Linked DNA regions of Styela clava. The protein of the gene in region 2 interacts with the protein of the main gene of each other region in a pairwise test. Links are inferred from orthologs where the notes say so. Each region holds a gene or a part of one and is shown on either strand. Other genes may lie near its edges. The genes, in order: histone deacetylase 11-like and COP9 signalosome complex subunit 5-like.

Region 1 (8,156 bases), on a different chromosome or scaffold from region 2:
ATAACAGAGTATGGAAAAATTGCTAATCCAGATATTCCTGTTATTTTTGCAATGGTCTTGGATCTTTTCAAGCTCTCCATATATTCCTGGGTATGAACTTCTTTCAACTCTGCTTCCGTAATTTCAACAGGAGTGGAGAATGAATTAACTGTCAAAATTTTTTGTGCAATAAGTATCTGACGAATATTATTTCCTTTCAATAAATCAAATTTGCCCATTTTTTCTAATCCCATGAAGCGTAGATTATATTCCGGACAATGAACCATAGGCCACAAATCATTTTTGTGCAGGTCAGAACTGCCATCCTCCCTGAGTTCAGTACTTGCACCTTGGCCCATACTGATATACTATGATTATTAATAATATAAAATGAAGTGACAGTGATAAAAATTTAGTGCATAAATGTGTAAAACTTTGTAATAATCATTTTATACAGTATATAATAAATGAAAAATAAAATTGTAAGAGGGAAAATGGGTATCAACGTTGAACACTTCAATTCCATTCCACAAGCACTTAAAATAACAAGTGCTTGAAAAATAATGGAGAGTAAGGTTTTGGCGAAACAATTGAAATTTTGAAAACTAAAAGAAATATAAAACTAGCATTTACATCAACATAAACTCAAATACAACTTATCACTTATTATTTTTTTTTATTGCAGATTTATGCATACTATTGACAAATGATAAATGCTTTCACATTGACAGTGAAATTGATACAAATATCCAAATCTGACTGCACATTTCTAATCATAAACTATGTTTTTAGGCATATAACATATGGCTGTCCTCGATAAGCATATGAAAATGACCATATCATTGTCATGTGTATATTCATGTGATGAAAATTAATATTGAAAACTATTTTTCAAAGATGCGATAAGCACAAATCAAATTCATCAATCAAATCAATCAATCAAATCCATAAACTCAAAAATATGTAAAATCAACAAAACCAAAATTTTTGGAAAGAGCATTTACTAGAGAAATGAATAAATACTGTAGTCTGTAGGTATTGCATTTAATCTAAATTTCATGAAACAAACAGAGAAAAATGCAAAATCGCCAATAAGGTTTCGATTTTGATACCGAGTTCGTTTGTTAAAGATTTACCACAAGAAGAATTATGATTGTAAAATATGAGTCAAATTAGTCTGACCACTTAGTTCAAATCAGATTAATTTTGTCATTTTCAATTGAACACTACATCCAATGAGGCAATTTGGGCTCCATAAGACATTTGTTAGTTGAGTTATGGATTAAAGTTGAGATGATGTAAGTGACAAACAAAAGAATAATATAATTTATGAATAATATATGTCAATAAACACAGTAGGCTTTTTCATATGAGGTCATTCGAGATATTTCAGGTATCAACTATAAATGTATATTATGATCATGGATGGAGTTAATGATTGCAAAAGGAAGTATGAGAATCACTGTATAGAAAGCTTCCTGCAACTGATATCACATTCATTATTCAGAATGCAAAATATTTTTAGGTCCAGTTATAAATCCATGACTATTGAGATTGAAAATTGAATCTGCTATTATTGCTGCAGTTGATCTTTGGTATCCACCAGACGTGAACATAACAATTGGAATTTTGTTTCTGTGGGCCACTTCAAAAACTATTTGATCTCTTTCAACAATGCCATTAGGTGATATATCAAGACAACCAAGTGGATCGCCGCTGAGAATGTCTGTTCCAGCATTGTACACAATATATTCAGGATTGAACAGTTCAATGACTTCAGAAAGGTTTTTTCTCACAAGTTCCAGATACTTTGAATCACTCGTTCCATGCACCAATTCCACCGGACGAGAAATGGCTAATTTAGCACGCTGATCATTCGGATATATTAAACGATTATACACATCGAAAATGAAAACTCTTTCTTCACCCATGAAATCATGAGCATATCCATTTCCCTGGTGAGCATCAAGGTCGACAATCAGGACTTTGTTTATGTCTGGAAAGTTTTCCCACAAATAACGAATGTTTAAGGTTATGTCAGCATAAGCACAAAATCCTCCTCCACGCTCAGCAGAGCAGTGATGAAATCCACCACCAATGTTAATGGCCCATCCTCTCTCCATTGCCAACTTCCCTGCCAAGATTGAGCCACCCGTTTGCAATCTAAATGGTCGCAGAACTGAGCGTTGAACAAAGTAATTAGGCAGCATTGCAACTGGTGGAACTTCCGTGATCATTGCTACATTCGCACTCCATTTTAAACTATTCAAGTATTTCTGGCTGTGTACTTTTTGCAATTCCTCTTCTGACGCTTCTAAAGGCTCAACAAATTCCCCAGGCAATAACATTTTCTTATCTATCAGCATCTGATGAACTCTTCCCCATTTGCCAGCATCAAATGGATGCAACTTTTCCATGCCTCCAAAACTTACATTGTAGCCAGAACTGTAGACTAATGGCCAGGCTTGATCCGAAATATTTAGATACAATCTTGGAATTCTTTCATTCGACTTATCAAAGCTTCTACTGTTGGGTTTATGTTGATTCCTGCTGGGTTTTAAAGGTCCTTGCCCCATATTTCGTACAGTCATATAATCCTATGCAGCTATAAGCATTAAAACAACTACTGCACTGTGACTAGGGGTGGGAAATGTTGAATAATTTATTACGGTATTTTAGAATACTCAAATCAAATCCAGAATACTGAATCACGAAATGGACGTATATATAGATAGTTTTGATATTATGTTCCTGTGGAATAAAATGTAAAAAAAAATTGTAAATGTATCAGTCTTCGCGTGTAATTGAAAATGTTCCGATCATTGGCTCAGGCCAATGAAATTCGATAATTTCTGCAATATTTTTTTTTTATGTAAAAACAAAATTTTATAATTAGTCACAAGTTATCACATTTTTTTTTTGACCTAAATTGCTTAAAAATTTTCCTGGCAGCATTACCGCTCGGTTATTGAGAAGACAAAGTTTTGCTGCATTATTAGGCACTGTATTGGGAGTTTTGATATATATGTGTGGTGATGTTTTGTCCACCACGGCACCTTCACCACAGTATATGCACGGCCAGTCCGAGACAACTGCAACTTATGCGCCGTAGCGGGTACCGCGCGGCGGTGTGGCTCAACGGGCTAAGCGTTAGGAATACGCTCGCCAGCGCACCTCTAATTACTCTGCGTGGGTTCGCATGTTAGAATCCCATGCAGGGATGGTTATGTGCGAGAGGATTGCTGGACTCCTCGCCGTCGTTGGGTGGTTCACGTAACCGCTGGTCGGTTACGGCTTCCTCCACCACCAAGTCCATGCTTCCGAAAACAAACAATACAGTAAAAACTAATCCCATACCCGACTTGGAATGGTAACCGGACGAGAGGCCGTGGTTCGCCATATGGATAAGCCGTCTTATCGGCTTTCCTCTACCCCGGGATAAATATGTAAATCCTATCCTTCCTTCCTAGTCTTCGCGTCAATTACGGGTGCAAACTATTGAATTTAATCGTAGTAGTATATATTTACGATTTAACCACTATCAATTATAATCAAGCATGGGTCAGCGTGTTTATTCTGTGAGATTAAGACCCGTAAAATAAAGTTACCGTAATCGTGATTTCGTACTTAACATGTAATAACATCCGATAACGAATCGCAGATTCCCGAGAAGGATGTAATTATTTGGGAGTGCAAAATAAATGTGACCAATATTTTGTTTGTGATGAAACTTTGTATTTTCGGAAGAGGCTTGTCGTAAATGTATTAAATCATTGTAAATAATATTTGATATAAATTAATCGCAAATAATGTTATAACATTTAACGTCTGGCTTTTGGTTTAGAATCTAATCTAATCTCTGATCTAAACTTCAGATCAGGGGTGCGGCCCGCAAGGGAATATTGTGCGGCCCGTAGAGAATTTTCAATGGTGTGCGGCTAAATTAGTTTTTACTTTATTTTGATCTGGTTGGGCTTCAAAGATAATATCCGAGTCCAATTTGCTATCTGTGCCTATGACGTTACAACGTCTCAACAGCAACGCGATTCACAAAGCTGCCACTTGCTGAACTGCGAAAAACTTGAAAGGAAATGCGGAGCAGACGCTAATGAACTTGTATGAACGAGCAATCGAAGATCAGGAAACTGGAAAGCAGTTTAAATTTTTAATATCAAGAGATGCAAAAACTAAATTGAGTTTGGTTCCAGTCTATCAGTTGATTTTGTCCAAATCTAATCAAGAATAAAATTTGACAGCAAATTATTCGGAAATGAATCTTGGCGTACTTTACCGAAAACATTTCAACCAAGATAACTTCCCACATTTGAAAAAGGTCATGGCTTCAAATAGGGCACTTTTCGATTACATCTTTTTGTTCAAAAACGGGCTCCATATCAAATTCGTATCACTTTCATTTAAGCAAATTTGGATAAAGAATCTAGCAGCAAATTTCTTACCGAATTCGTATAAAATGGATGTAACGATATATTTGAACTACAGTTTAACTCATCATTCCTGCAAGGACCCCCAATAATGACGATTTAGAATCAATAACATATAGACACTATTATGTGCCTACAGCTAATAGAAAGCCTATTGTAATGAAAGTGCGGCCCGCGGTTTTACCCCGTTATTGATATTTGGCCCGTCTACGAAGAAGGTTGCACAATCCTGCTTTAGATCATTGTTCTCGGTAGAACTCGTAGGCCGCGAAAAATCATTTAATCTAAAACGGAGCATGGTACGTCTGTGAGAAATTAAATTTTGTGGGTCATATGACATGAATAAAAATTGGTATACAAAATTGGGCTAGATTGTTGAAATCAATCACTAACTAGGTCGTAAAGCTGGAGAAAGAGAAAATGGTGCAACAACAAGTCTTCGCCGTGAGGCGTTTGTTCATTCATGGGAGTCTTCTTGATCTGAAGCGCTAAGATTTCCGTGTTTGACGTCTACCGCTTTTAATCAAACGAGAGAAATTTTGACGCAAGACGAAAAGCTCATCTCTGATTAATAAATTATAAAACCGGAAATACAAAAATTGACGAATGCTTTTAAAGAAGCGGAAACCAAATTCAGTTATCTGATCCCCTAATTGGATCCGAATCCTCCAGATTCGATATTCTGAATTGCCCATCCCTAACTATGGCACTTAAGTGCCACGGACAGAGGCTATTAATTATAGTAGCAGGGAATGGCAATTGGGGCGATTAGGTACGCAGGGCTGGATTAACCTTTTGGAAATATAAGCACGTGCTTAGGGCTCCAAGGGAGAGGGGGCACCGCAGAAAAGTACTATCGAAAAATCTATATTGGTGCCTTAGTAATGGCTATCAAGTTATTTGATTTAAAACTAGTTTTTGAGAATGCACTTGAAAACTGACTCACGCACAACAATGAAAACGAAGCAAGGTTCACAACGATGCTTAGATTAGAGATATACATTTCACAGGTTCTTGTATATACTTAAAACTAACTTAGACTACTTGATAATTTCATCTGATAAAATGGAGGGGAAATTTGATCATAAATGTGTCATTTTTCACAATAAATTCCCAACCCTGATTAGATGAATCCAAAATTTATCCTCGTTTTGTAAATAGTTCTCTATAAACTGAGAGTTAAAAAAAAAGAACCTGTATCAATTTATGTATTTATTCATGTGTTGTATTGGGTGGTAACTGACTCAGATGACCGTAACTGGTCGTATCGTTACCTCCCAGTCATACCGAAGACTTTTGTTTCACTTATTATGTTATTATTATATTTAATATTATGTGTTTTCTGGTTGACGAAATAATAAATTCTCTCTCTCTCTCTCGGTACCGACTAAATGTAGACCGATATATTTAGATTTGAATCTGGTCCAGAATGTTTTAAAAAATTATTTAAAATACGGATGTTGAAATTATTTGTTGCGTGGAGGGATTTTCCAATTTGTAAAATACCAACATATATATTATTGGTGATGTTGACGTTATCTCCCATTCATGTCACTTTTTAAAATGATCACCCGCTTCAACAGCCTGTTGTACAGGCTAATGTCCAGCTTCTTGGACGAAAATAAGTGCACGGAGTCGGAATCCGCAGATTTCAAGATTGTTCAGAGTAGAGCGCGATAGTTTATTGCCCTCAATCTACGTTACCACTGTGAAGCTAGCAGCACTTTCAGCCAGAATATTTTTACACATTGAATATAGGTTCCACGCGCATATAGTGTTCACTTATAGGTAAATATGAAAATTGAAAATGCTGATCAAAATATAATATTGTCACGAAAATAGATGAAAATTTTTTAAACTGAATGAATACATTAAATTTAACAAGAAAATAGTGTTCAAAAAAAGACTAACTAAGCGAAAAATGAATTTTCAGGTATTCCGCAAATACAAAGTTTCGGAAAATTATCCTTTTCGGAACCTCGATTCCTCGAAAACCGCCAATAAAGGCAGCACCACGACACATTTGGAGAAAAGCAGATACCATATTAATTCAATTTTTCTATAACAGAACAGTAGCAGTACGTTTTGGCTTGACCATATATATTACCAAACATATCGTGTAATCTAAATTTTAAAAACGGCATGGACGTAACAAATTTAAAATTGATTTTGTATTTCAACTATATTTGCTAGATAATGGATAAAATATCATTTTCTTTTTGTCACACATTAATACTGTACATCTTTTAAACTTGGAATACGTTGCGGGAAGTATAAAACAGCAAAAAATCATTTGCGACTCCAGGTGGATTCTGTCCTGGATTACAAAAAATTATCGTTTTTAAAATGGCGATTTTTCGAAAACCGCCAATAAAGGCAGCACTACGACATATTCGGATAAAAGCACATACATTATAGATTCGATTTTATTATGCCAGAACAGTAGCAGCACGTTTTGACTTGGCCATATATAATACCAAAAATAGCGTATATTCCTCGATTTTTAAAACAAAGGTACGTAACATATTAAAAAAGGGTTTGTATTTCAACTAAAGTTGCAGGATAATTGATCAAATATCTTTTTCTCTTTGTCGCACATCAATACTGTACGTCTATTAAAGTTAGAATAAGTTTCAGAAAGTATAAAGTAATAATAAAAAAAATTTTGCGCACCCCCTTGAATTAGGTTGAGAATTTCGAAAATTATCGTTTTTGGATTAGTGATTTCTCAAAAACCGCCAATAAAGGCAGCATCACGACACATTCAGAGAAAAGCACATACCTTATAGATTCAATTTTATTATGTCAGAACGGTAGCAGAACGTTTTGACTTTGCCATATATAATACCAAACATAGCGTATACTCTTCAATGTTATGAACAATGTGGACGAAACAAATTTAAAAAGGAATTGTATATCAACTAAATTTGCTGAACAATTGATAAAATATATATTTTTCTCTTTGTCACACATTAATACTGTACGTCTATTAAACTTAGAATGATTTGCAGAAGAAAAGTATAAAATACCAAAAAAATATTTTACGCCCTCTTCGTGGATTCTTTTCAAAATTTCGAAAAATTATCGATTTTGGAAGGGGAATTTCTCGAAAACCGCCAATAAAGGCAGCACTACGACACATTCGGAAAAAAGTATATACCCTATATATTTGATTTCACTATAACAAAACAGTGGCAGCATGTTTTGACTCGGCTACATATAATACCAAAATAGCGTGTATTCTCAGTTTTATAAACATTGTCGACGTAACAAATTTAATAGGGATTTGTATTTCAACTGGAGCTGCGGGAAAATTGATCAAATATATTTTTCTCTTTGTCACAAATGAATACTGTACGTTTATTAAACTAAGAATTAATTGGGAAAGTTTAAAATATAAAAAAAAACATTTTACGCTCTCTATAATGGGTTCTTTTCTGAATTCCGAAAAATAATCGTTTTTGAAAGGGCGATTTCTCGAAAACCGCCAATAAAGGCAGCACTACGACACATTCGGAAAAAAGCAAATTCCTTTTAGATTCGACTTCACTATACCATAACAGTAGCAGCACGTTTTGACTTGGCCATATATAATTCCAAACATAGCGTATATTTTCAATTTTATTAAAAAATGTAGATGTGACATATTTAAAATCGGTTTGGTATTTCAACTAAATTTACTGGAAAATTCATCAAATACTTTCTTCTCTTGGGTATGCAACAAAACTGTACGTT
Region 2 (7,833 bases):
CAAGTTCTTTGGCAATGATACTCTTTGCTCCAAAACAGAGGTTTTGAGGGCCACAATGCTAGGTGCAAAGCTGATTTTACTTATGCAAGATTCAATTTTTTGTCATTTATTTACTGGTCTTCTTTTTTCCTTAGTGGATGCATATAGCTGTTGTGATTGTCCAAAACTCTGCTAAGAGATGGGTCCTCTGTATTTCTGTGTGTGAGTGTATGTAGCGAAAAATTTTTAAAAACATGGTTCCATATTATTGTGACCAATATCACAAGACAAACTAATAAATCTCAATATCTTATCAAGTATTATTGACAATATAATATTGAACATATACTCTCTAAAACCTCTGCACAGAATTCTTCTGGTTCCAAGATTTGTATTAACATATATTGGATCAAACCAAGCTTGTTTTCCTGTGAAAATTCGCTCAAATTATTTTCACAAGTCTTGACAAAAATGGTGAGTAACACCATATGCAATGTGATATGCATTCAGTAGCATATCTAGGGCAGTCATGGCTTGTGCCACAGGTTTTTAGTTACCCCCGTAGTGTGTGAACTAGGTTAGGGTCAGGCAATAATTGTATAACGATTTTCCTTGTTTTAGTTCTATTACGAGTTGAGGGAATATCTGTGTTAGCCAAATGAATATACCCCCTGCTCATAGGTTTCAGTCCCTTTACACAACTTGACATAAAGTAGGCGAACTAAATTAATTACCTCCATATTGGTGCATACACTTCTGAAGCGCAGATTTTTATGCTCCATTGGTTACTTGCAACCCTCCCTCTATCAGTAATTTTTCAAATATTGCTGGAACGGTCGACCTCTTGCACTGAGCCAACCTGTATGAATAATGTGGCCTCTGCACAGGTTTATTATTGTGCGAGAAATATTAGTTAATACAGGGATAAACACGAAGCTTTTCTCTTTACTCTAGATTGGCTGGATATGTTGAAAGCCTCTTCTATAAACTTGGGTTGCCAGTACCTGCCTTAACACCGGAACAAGCAGAGCAGAATTCAACTATTTTTTCATCTAATGCGGTAAGTTTCTGTTTTTTTAGAATTAGTGTGAGTGGGTTCCGGATTTAAACATTTCACCCACCTGGGGCTGGGCATTTTTGAATACCTGAGGATTTCAGAATCACATAAATTTTTCAAAATGGAAAATGGAAATATTCGACTGTATGTGACTTTTTATTGTGATGGGCACATAATTTACTGAAAACTTTCATAGTTTCAGACAGTTTTAGAAACATGTTTCATTAATAACTCACTAAAGATAAAGGAGTCGGTAAAAGAGTAAAAATATGGCTTCAATAAAAAAAATTGAGGAATTCACCTCGACCTGTGTTGGTTTAAAAACAAGATGACGGCAATTTGAAATTCTTGCCTGGAGCAGTTGTTTTTAGAGCATTTTATAAATTTAATGATAGCAACTTCATCAAGATCAAATCTAAGGTTCTCTTCGCTACTATAACTATCAGTAGAAGTTACACAAGACTAACTTCCGACTAACCGACTCTTCCTCAACGCCCCTGCCCTAGTGGATCCCTATGCGTATATTGCAAGGATGCTGTAGCAGGAATAAACATGGCCATGCTATGCAATTCAAGAGTCCAGCTGCACATAAACACAAACGTATTTCTGTAACGTTTCGTTTGACCAAAATCAGACTTCTTCAGACAAGCAGTTTACACAGACGAAACCTTACAGAAATACATTCATGTTTGTGTGCAACAGGAATCTTGAATTGCTTGGTCTCTTCACTGGTATTGTTATTTATTTTAGTGACTGGGAAAAGTAAACCTGACTTCGACTTTACTATTTGGCCCTTTGGAATTGTTTTACTACATTATTACATAATAAGTTCTTCAATTTCAGGGCAAAGCATTTGGAATTTTGATCGGTTGTATAGTTGGAATGTTCCCACTGTTATTCATCGCTAAAGAAGAAAAGGAAGATGGATGACATCTTGAATAATTTTTCGAGTTTTATCAAAGCATTTGGCTTGAAATACAGTTACTTTTGAGCTGCTTGACTCGCGCCATTATTATTTTATTTGTTTCAGTAGCTCAGACCATTTCAGTCTGTAGAACTGTATGGTGATACAGACAAGCAATAAAAAGGCCTAATAATATTTAACATTATATCTGTATTGCATTCTATTGACTGGGATAAGTTTATGCTTTCTCATGCTTTAAATTTTTAACTTTTCGAGCTGCTTCTCCATTGCACCTGAGAAAGTATATTTAAATCTTTTTTTCTGTAATTGCCATATTTCTTCATTTAGAAATATTTTTGTTGTTTCCTTATTTTAACCAACATTTTTTTTTTTAAATCTTGTGTTAGTTTTTCAGTCATATAGTGTTCCTTTAGTTTTAAATGTATTCAGCTTTATTGCGATTTTCAGATATTTACATATTTATCCCGACTTATACATATTTAACCGACCAGCGGGTATGTGAACCACCCTACGGCGACGAGGAGTCTAGCAATCCTTTTGCACATAACCATCATCGCTTGGGATTCGAACATGCGGACCCACGCAGAGAAATCAGATCAAATGCTTAGCACAAGGAGCCACACTGCCGAGCCTGATTATACCGCTGGACGATAAATCGAAAAAAATATGCCTGAGATTCTAAATCAGTGTTTCACAAACTTTTTTTTATAAATTCCTCTCAAATTTTGGATCGATATATTCTCCCTCACAATGCTGAGGAACTCCATTTTCGTTCTATTCTAGAAATCTGTATTTGTAACTTTACTTTGAATCATATGTTGCTGCTGTTTTTAGTTGGTATTTTCTGTTGAATTTTGTTCATTTTATATATTTGAATAGTTAACAATATATATACATGTTGAATTTTTATAAGCTAGTGCTGTATTTTGTGAAAGTATGTACAAAGGTATGTACACAGTGTTATGAATAGCAAAGAAGGCGGCCTCGTTTGGGGCCTTGGGGGTGTTTTACGCATGTGCTCCAAACAAAGCTTGTAGACAGGCAGGTAATGAGCAAATAGACTAGGTTCTTTTCATGTAGTTTGGGTAACAATCCAACCTAATTTAAAGTCATTTTACCTTGGTGTTTCAGAATAGCAATATAACAAGAACGATTATGTAGGCGAGCACATTCTAAAAATTGAGCCAAAACATGTTGCTGCAGGGACGAGCACGGAAATATAGTACAGCAATATGAAAACTGATGGTTCGCATATACGATCTTCCTCACTAAATGTGTGTTTGTTTTTCTCAAAATGTAACGGCTTCATATAAATTTTACAAGAGAGATATGCTCAAATATACAGACACGTAGCGCCACATAATTTTGATGACGTCATGGCAAAAAATAAAAGTAATAGCCTTTTGGGGAAAATTCCATTTTCAACCACTGAAAATTTCAGAGCAATTGGTCCAGTAATCAAATAGAAAAGCGATTTCTCCGAAACGATACAAAGAACAACAATAACAAAACGATCGTTATGTCCATTTCGTGTCCAATAATTACAGAGACGAATGCAATGTAAATAAAAACCGCATGGTACGCTGTCACATGCAAACTTGAAGAAACGTAATTTTTCTCTCCGTTCTAGTTGCACGGCAAGTATATGGATAGGTCAGATATGTGACTTGATACGATTACGTACCAATGAAATTCGATCCGTGGCAGATTAGCCCAAGAGAAAGAGATATATTGCGACAAAAACGAAGTCAACACTATTATTATAAACAAAATACAATGTAGAAAATATTTCAGCAGTAATAACAGTGATTGATTCAAACCATCAAGTCCATGCTTCCGAAAACAAACAAGAGAGCTATGCTCAAATATATGGACACGTAGCGCCACCCAATGGCAATAACTTTGATGACGTCATAGCGAAAAAGTAATAGCCTTCTGGAGAAAAATTTTATCTTCAACAACTGAAAATTTCAAAGCAGTTGGTCCAGTATTCGAAGAGAAAAGCGACTTTTTGAAAACGTGTCAAAGAACAAGAACAACAACAACAACATAATATTGAAACGATCGTTATGTCCACTACGTGTCCAATAACTGGCCAACTAATCCCTTACCCGACCTGGAATGGTAACCGGACGAGAGGCCGTGGTTCGCCATATGATTAAGCCGTCTTATCGGCTTTCCTCTCCCCTGGGATAAATATGTAAATCCTATCATATTGTTTTGCGTGGGCCCAATTAAAGTGATCTGGGCTCCCGACCATTGTGATTTGTGTATGTATGCCCATATGCCTTGGACGAATTACCAGTTGAACCGTTTGAAGACGAGTTTGTCAAACGATTGGGCTTTTTTTTTGCCAAATTATGTTTCATTGCCAATGTGGAATTTTTCTATTGGGCTCTCTGGCCGGCGCTATCCTCTTTGGAGGTAAATTATTATAAAAATTAAATGTAAGGATGCGGGGTCAGTAATTTTAATATGACCTATGATCTTTGAACTCTTTGGCCTGTGAAATACATGTCACATAATCAGATGATACCATGTAAATATTAATCATATTTCATGTACACAAAGAATAAATTTCATTTTTGAAATAAAAATCATCTTACAACTTAAATACTTCATTATTGAAAACGTGGAAAAAAAGATTATTGATATTGTTATTCTTTATCAAACCTCGCACAACCAGCCCTTCTTTATTGTATCTGGCAACAGCAAAACCTCTGCATTTGGTAATCTTGTACTGGATCGACGAAGTCGTGTTTGCAAACGTAATTTGTATAAGTAATTCGACCACAATGTCGGACGAAAAACCTGGAACGTCATCAGAAGGGGGGTACGATTGCTTCTATTATCTTATTTATAAATGGATCTTCATTTTACATGCTTACTTGTGGAAATAACTGTAAAAGATGACTAATATTAGGTCTCTTTTGCGATGTGTTTTACCCGTTTTTCGTCCCATGTTGCATTTCGTCTTTGATTTTGCGTTCCAGATTGCTAAAATTTTCCATGATACGTATTGTGCTAAGCTTTGACTTGCAAGGAGAGATATTTTGACTTCAAAAATAGCAGAATAAGTCTTTGGTCATTAAGTTGTCATTACTCTGACGTACTACGGTTCAATGGTCCTTAGTTAGGAAGCAACTGAGCGAATATCATCCTTGACAGTGTCGAATTGTTTTTTGTCAACTTCCTGACATCCTTGTCTCAAGATTAAGCCCATGTACTGATATAGGGTGTGTTATAAAAGTCTGGTATTTAATTAGGTAAAAGGACTTTGATGTGCTTCATACAACTAATAATGGTGGACATATAAGGGTTTATAAATGAAGTGAAAGGAGCTTAAGTAAACACCGATTAAAATAAAACAATTCTGGTTGAGATATATTAACAACTGACTCATACGATCATAAGAATTGTTATAATAGTACTTCACCATCACCATGTTTGTACAGTAGGGGACAGTTTTCGGGTCTCCTGAAGTACACACCGCAAGTACTTCTAGCTGGCATGGCTCAACAATTTTTGCATATGTCATTCTTAACCCCCACCTGACTAGGTCATCCGAAAATTACATTGCAGTGACGTAATACGGCTCGACAAAGTATACGAATGGTCGCGCAGACAATCATCCGAAATCGAGTTTGGCTATTTCTCTCGTTTTCTTATCAAAACGATACCAATAAGAGAGAGATCGCTGACGTTAGTGACTGTTAGTTCATTATAGTCGGCACAGATGCCATTTCGGACGATTGTAGCTACTTTAGCAAGCTCTATGACGTGATTGTGACGGCGCAGTGATGTAATTTTTGGGTGCCATACTCAGGTTGGGGTTAGGAATATTATACTAATAAAATCGTTATGCTACGCCCACTAGATGTACTTGAGGGCGCGTACTTTAGGAGACTCCAGTTTTCCGAATCCAAGATGTCCCGACATTAAGTTCAATAAAACAAACTCAATTGCCCTTGAAACGAGGGCGTCTGGCATGACGGCAGATGCGTCAGATCGTGTCATGCTTGTCTCAATAGTAATCTAAATCAATCATGATATGTGTGGTGTGTCGGCCGTCACATAGCCAAAATTCCCGTTTTCTGCTGGGAACTCTTGTATGCTGCGATAAAATTTGTTTCCTCTTGTAAATTGGATAATTTTATTTTCAAGGAATCCAATGATGTCGTTTTCAGATTGCGCTCTCTTTTTGTTGCACAGTGCTAATTTTTGCCAGTATGGAGGCCCTGACTGTCTCATAAATCAGGTGTTTGCAATCACTGTTATGATTTATGTTTTTTAAGTAGGGGCTATTCTTGGAATCAGTGAACTGTGCTAAATCAATATATATTTACACCAAGTTCATTCATTCAAAACTAATAATCTGGTTTACTATTCCCTTATCTGGCATAGACTGGTAGCATGTCAAGGGCCCATGTTCTGCCATATCATTAAAGCGTTCTTTCCGTCTTTCCTCCCCTGGAGATGAATTTGAAAACTTCATCTTTTAACATGTTAGTGGTGACTTGCAACTGTTCTATCGCTATTCTCCTGACTTTTAGCTCTGAACAAATTCGTTGATAAATAAATTCTTGTCCTAGAGCTGCATCTACAAAGACAGACCAGCCTTTAAATTCGGGTTCTGCGATGGCTTTGAAGACTTGGGAAATGCAAAACAATATGGAAGTGAGCGCTTTTTTTTAATTACTATTAGAATAGGATAGGGGTAGAAAAAGTATAACACGACTTAACTATATGGCGAACCACGGTACTTCACTAATGGCAAATTTGTTATGAGTTATTTTAAAAATATTTTGTTGAATTGGTTAGTGCAAACTGGTTTATTTCTTCAAAATCATTGTTTTGCCACCAACTTTTTAACAGCTGTGCTGAAAGTACTGTAAGCTAAATTTAAATGCTTGTTCTATATATTCTATCCCTGCAAAAACAAGCCAATGTTATTAATCAGTATTCAGTGACAAGATATCTAAGAGATTGTCTAAATTTCAGTTTTGATGTTGCTGTTGACATCTTGCGAATGAAGCAATGTTTTTTTTGATATATTTGAATACCTCCACTCTGGACGGGGTTCTGCACAAACAGTCGGTTATGTGTGAAAAACTACCATCATTTGGAACGACCGAAACCGTTCTCTGGCAGCTTTGTGTACCAATTTATTAACCCCCTGGGTGAGGTGATGGGCCGAGATTAAAGTTTAAAGATTTGGATTCCTGAATATGGACATTTACAATTTTCATATTTTTCTGTATTGAAATATTGCCTTCGCTCTATACAAACAGCCAGAGATATGTGAAGAGCTACCATTATTTGGAAGAGCCGAAATCTTTGTTTCAGCTTGAATCAAGATTTTAATCTGCGAAGCTGTTCTAACACTTTAACTATGCCACCAGAGCTGGCGACACTAACTAATTCAAAAACATTTTTAGATTGTTCACTCAGTCGACGAAATCTACAAATACGAGCTGAAACAGCAACAAGAAATGTTAAATGCAAAACCATGGACAAAGGATCCGCATTATTTTAAAACCAGTAAAATATCTGCACTGGCTTTACTGAAGATGGTCATGCATGCCAGGTCAGGCAAGAATTTGGAGGTAAGTCTACATTTGCTGTTCTTGTGGCTTCAATGACCAAGATGACAGGTTGAATTCAGATTTGGACACAGATTCTGGAGCAATGTTAAGTTAGACTATAAGTCATATGTGTATTCGACACGTTTAAATTCAAATATACGGTACTTAAGTTCATTGTATTACTGACAGGGAATTAATCTCAATTCATGCAAAATTATTACTTGGACAACAAACCATAGAGATACCAATAGGTATTGTAAAACACAAAAGTTATATCCCTTCTAAAG

Evidence for each region.
Region 1: the proteins of COP9 signalosome complex subunit 5-like (region 2) and histone deacetylase 11-like interact in a two-hybrid assay, tested with the Caenorhabditis elegans proteins (2 studies listed by BioGRID). The link is inferred for Styela clava from reciprocal best matches to the Caenorhabditis elegans genes csn-5 and hda-11.

What each region holds. Positions count from the first base shown.
Region 1 is NC_135252.1:6,045,639-6,053,794, forward strand, and holds histone deacetylase 11-like, read right to left. Parts: upstream 3,033-8,156; 5' UTR 2,571-3,032; coding exon 1,479-2,570; 3' UTR 348-1,478; downstream 1-347.
Region 2 is NC_135257.1:21,457,382-21,465,214, reverse strand, and holds the start of COP9 signalosome complex subunit 5-like, read left to right. Parts: upstream 1-4,641; 5' UTR 4,642-4,756; coding exon 4,757-4,794; intron 4,795-6,553; coding exon 6,554-6,638; intron 6,639-7,399; coding exon 7,400-7,567; intron 7,568-7,833. Other genes in the region: transmembrane protein 65-like, read left to right, coding at 934-1,039, 1,880-1,966. UniProt on the Caenorhabditis elegans protein: Probable protease subunit of the COP9 signalosome complex (CSN), a complex involved in various cellular and developmental processes.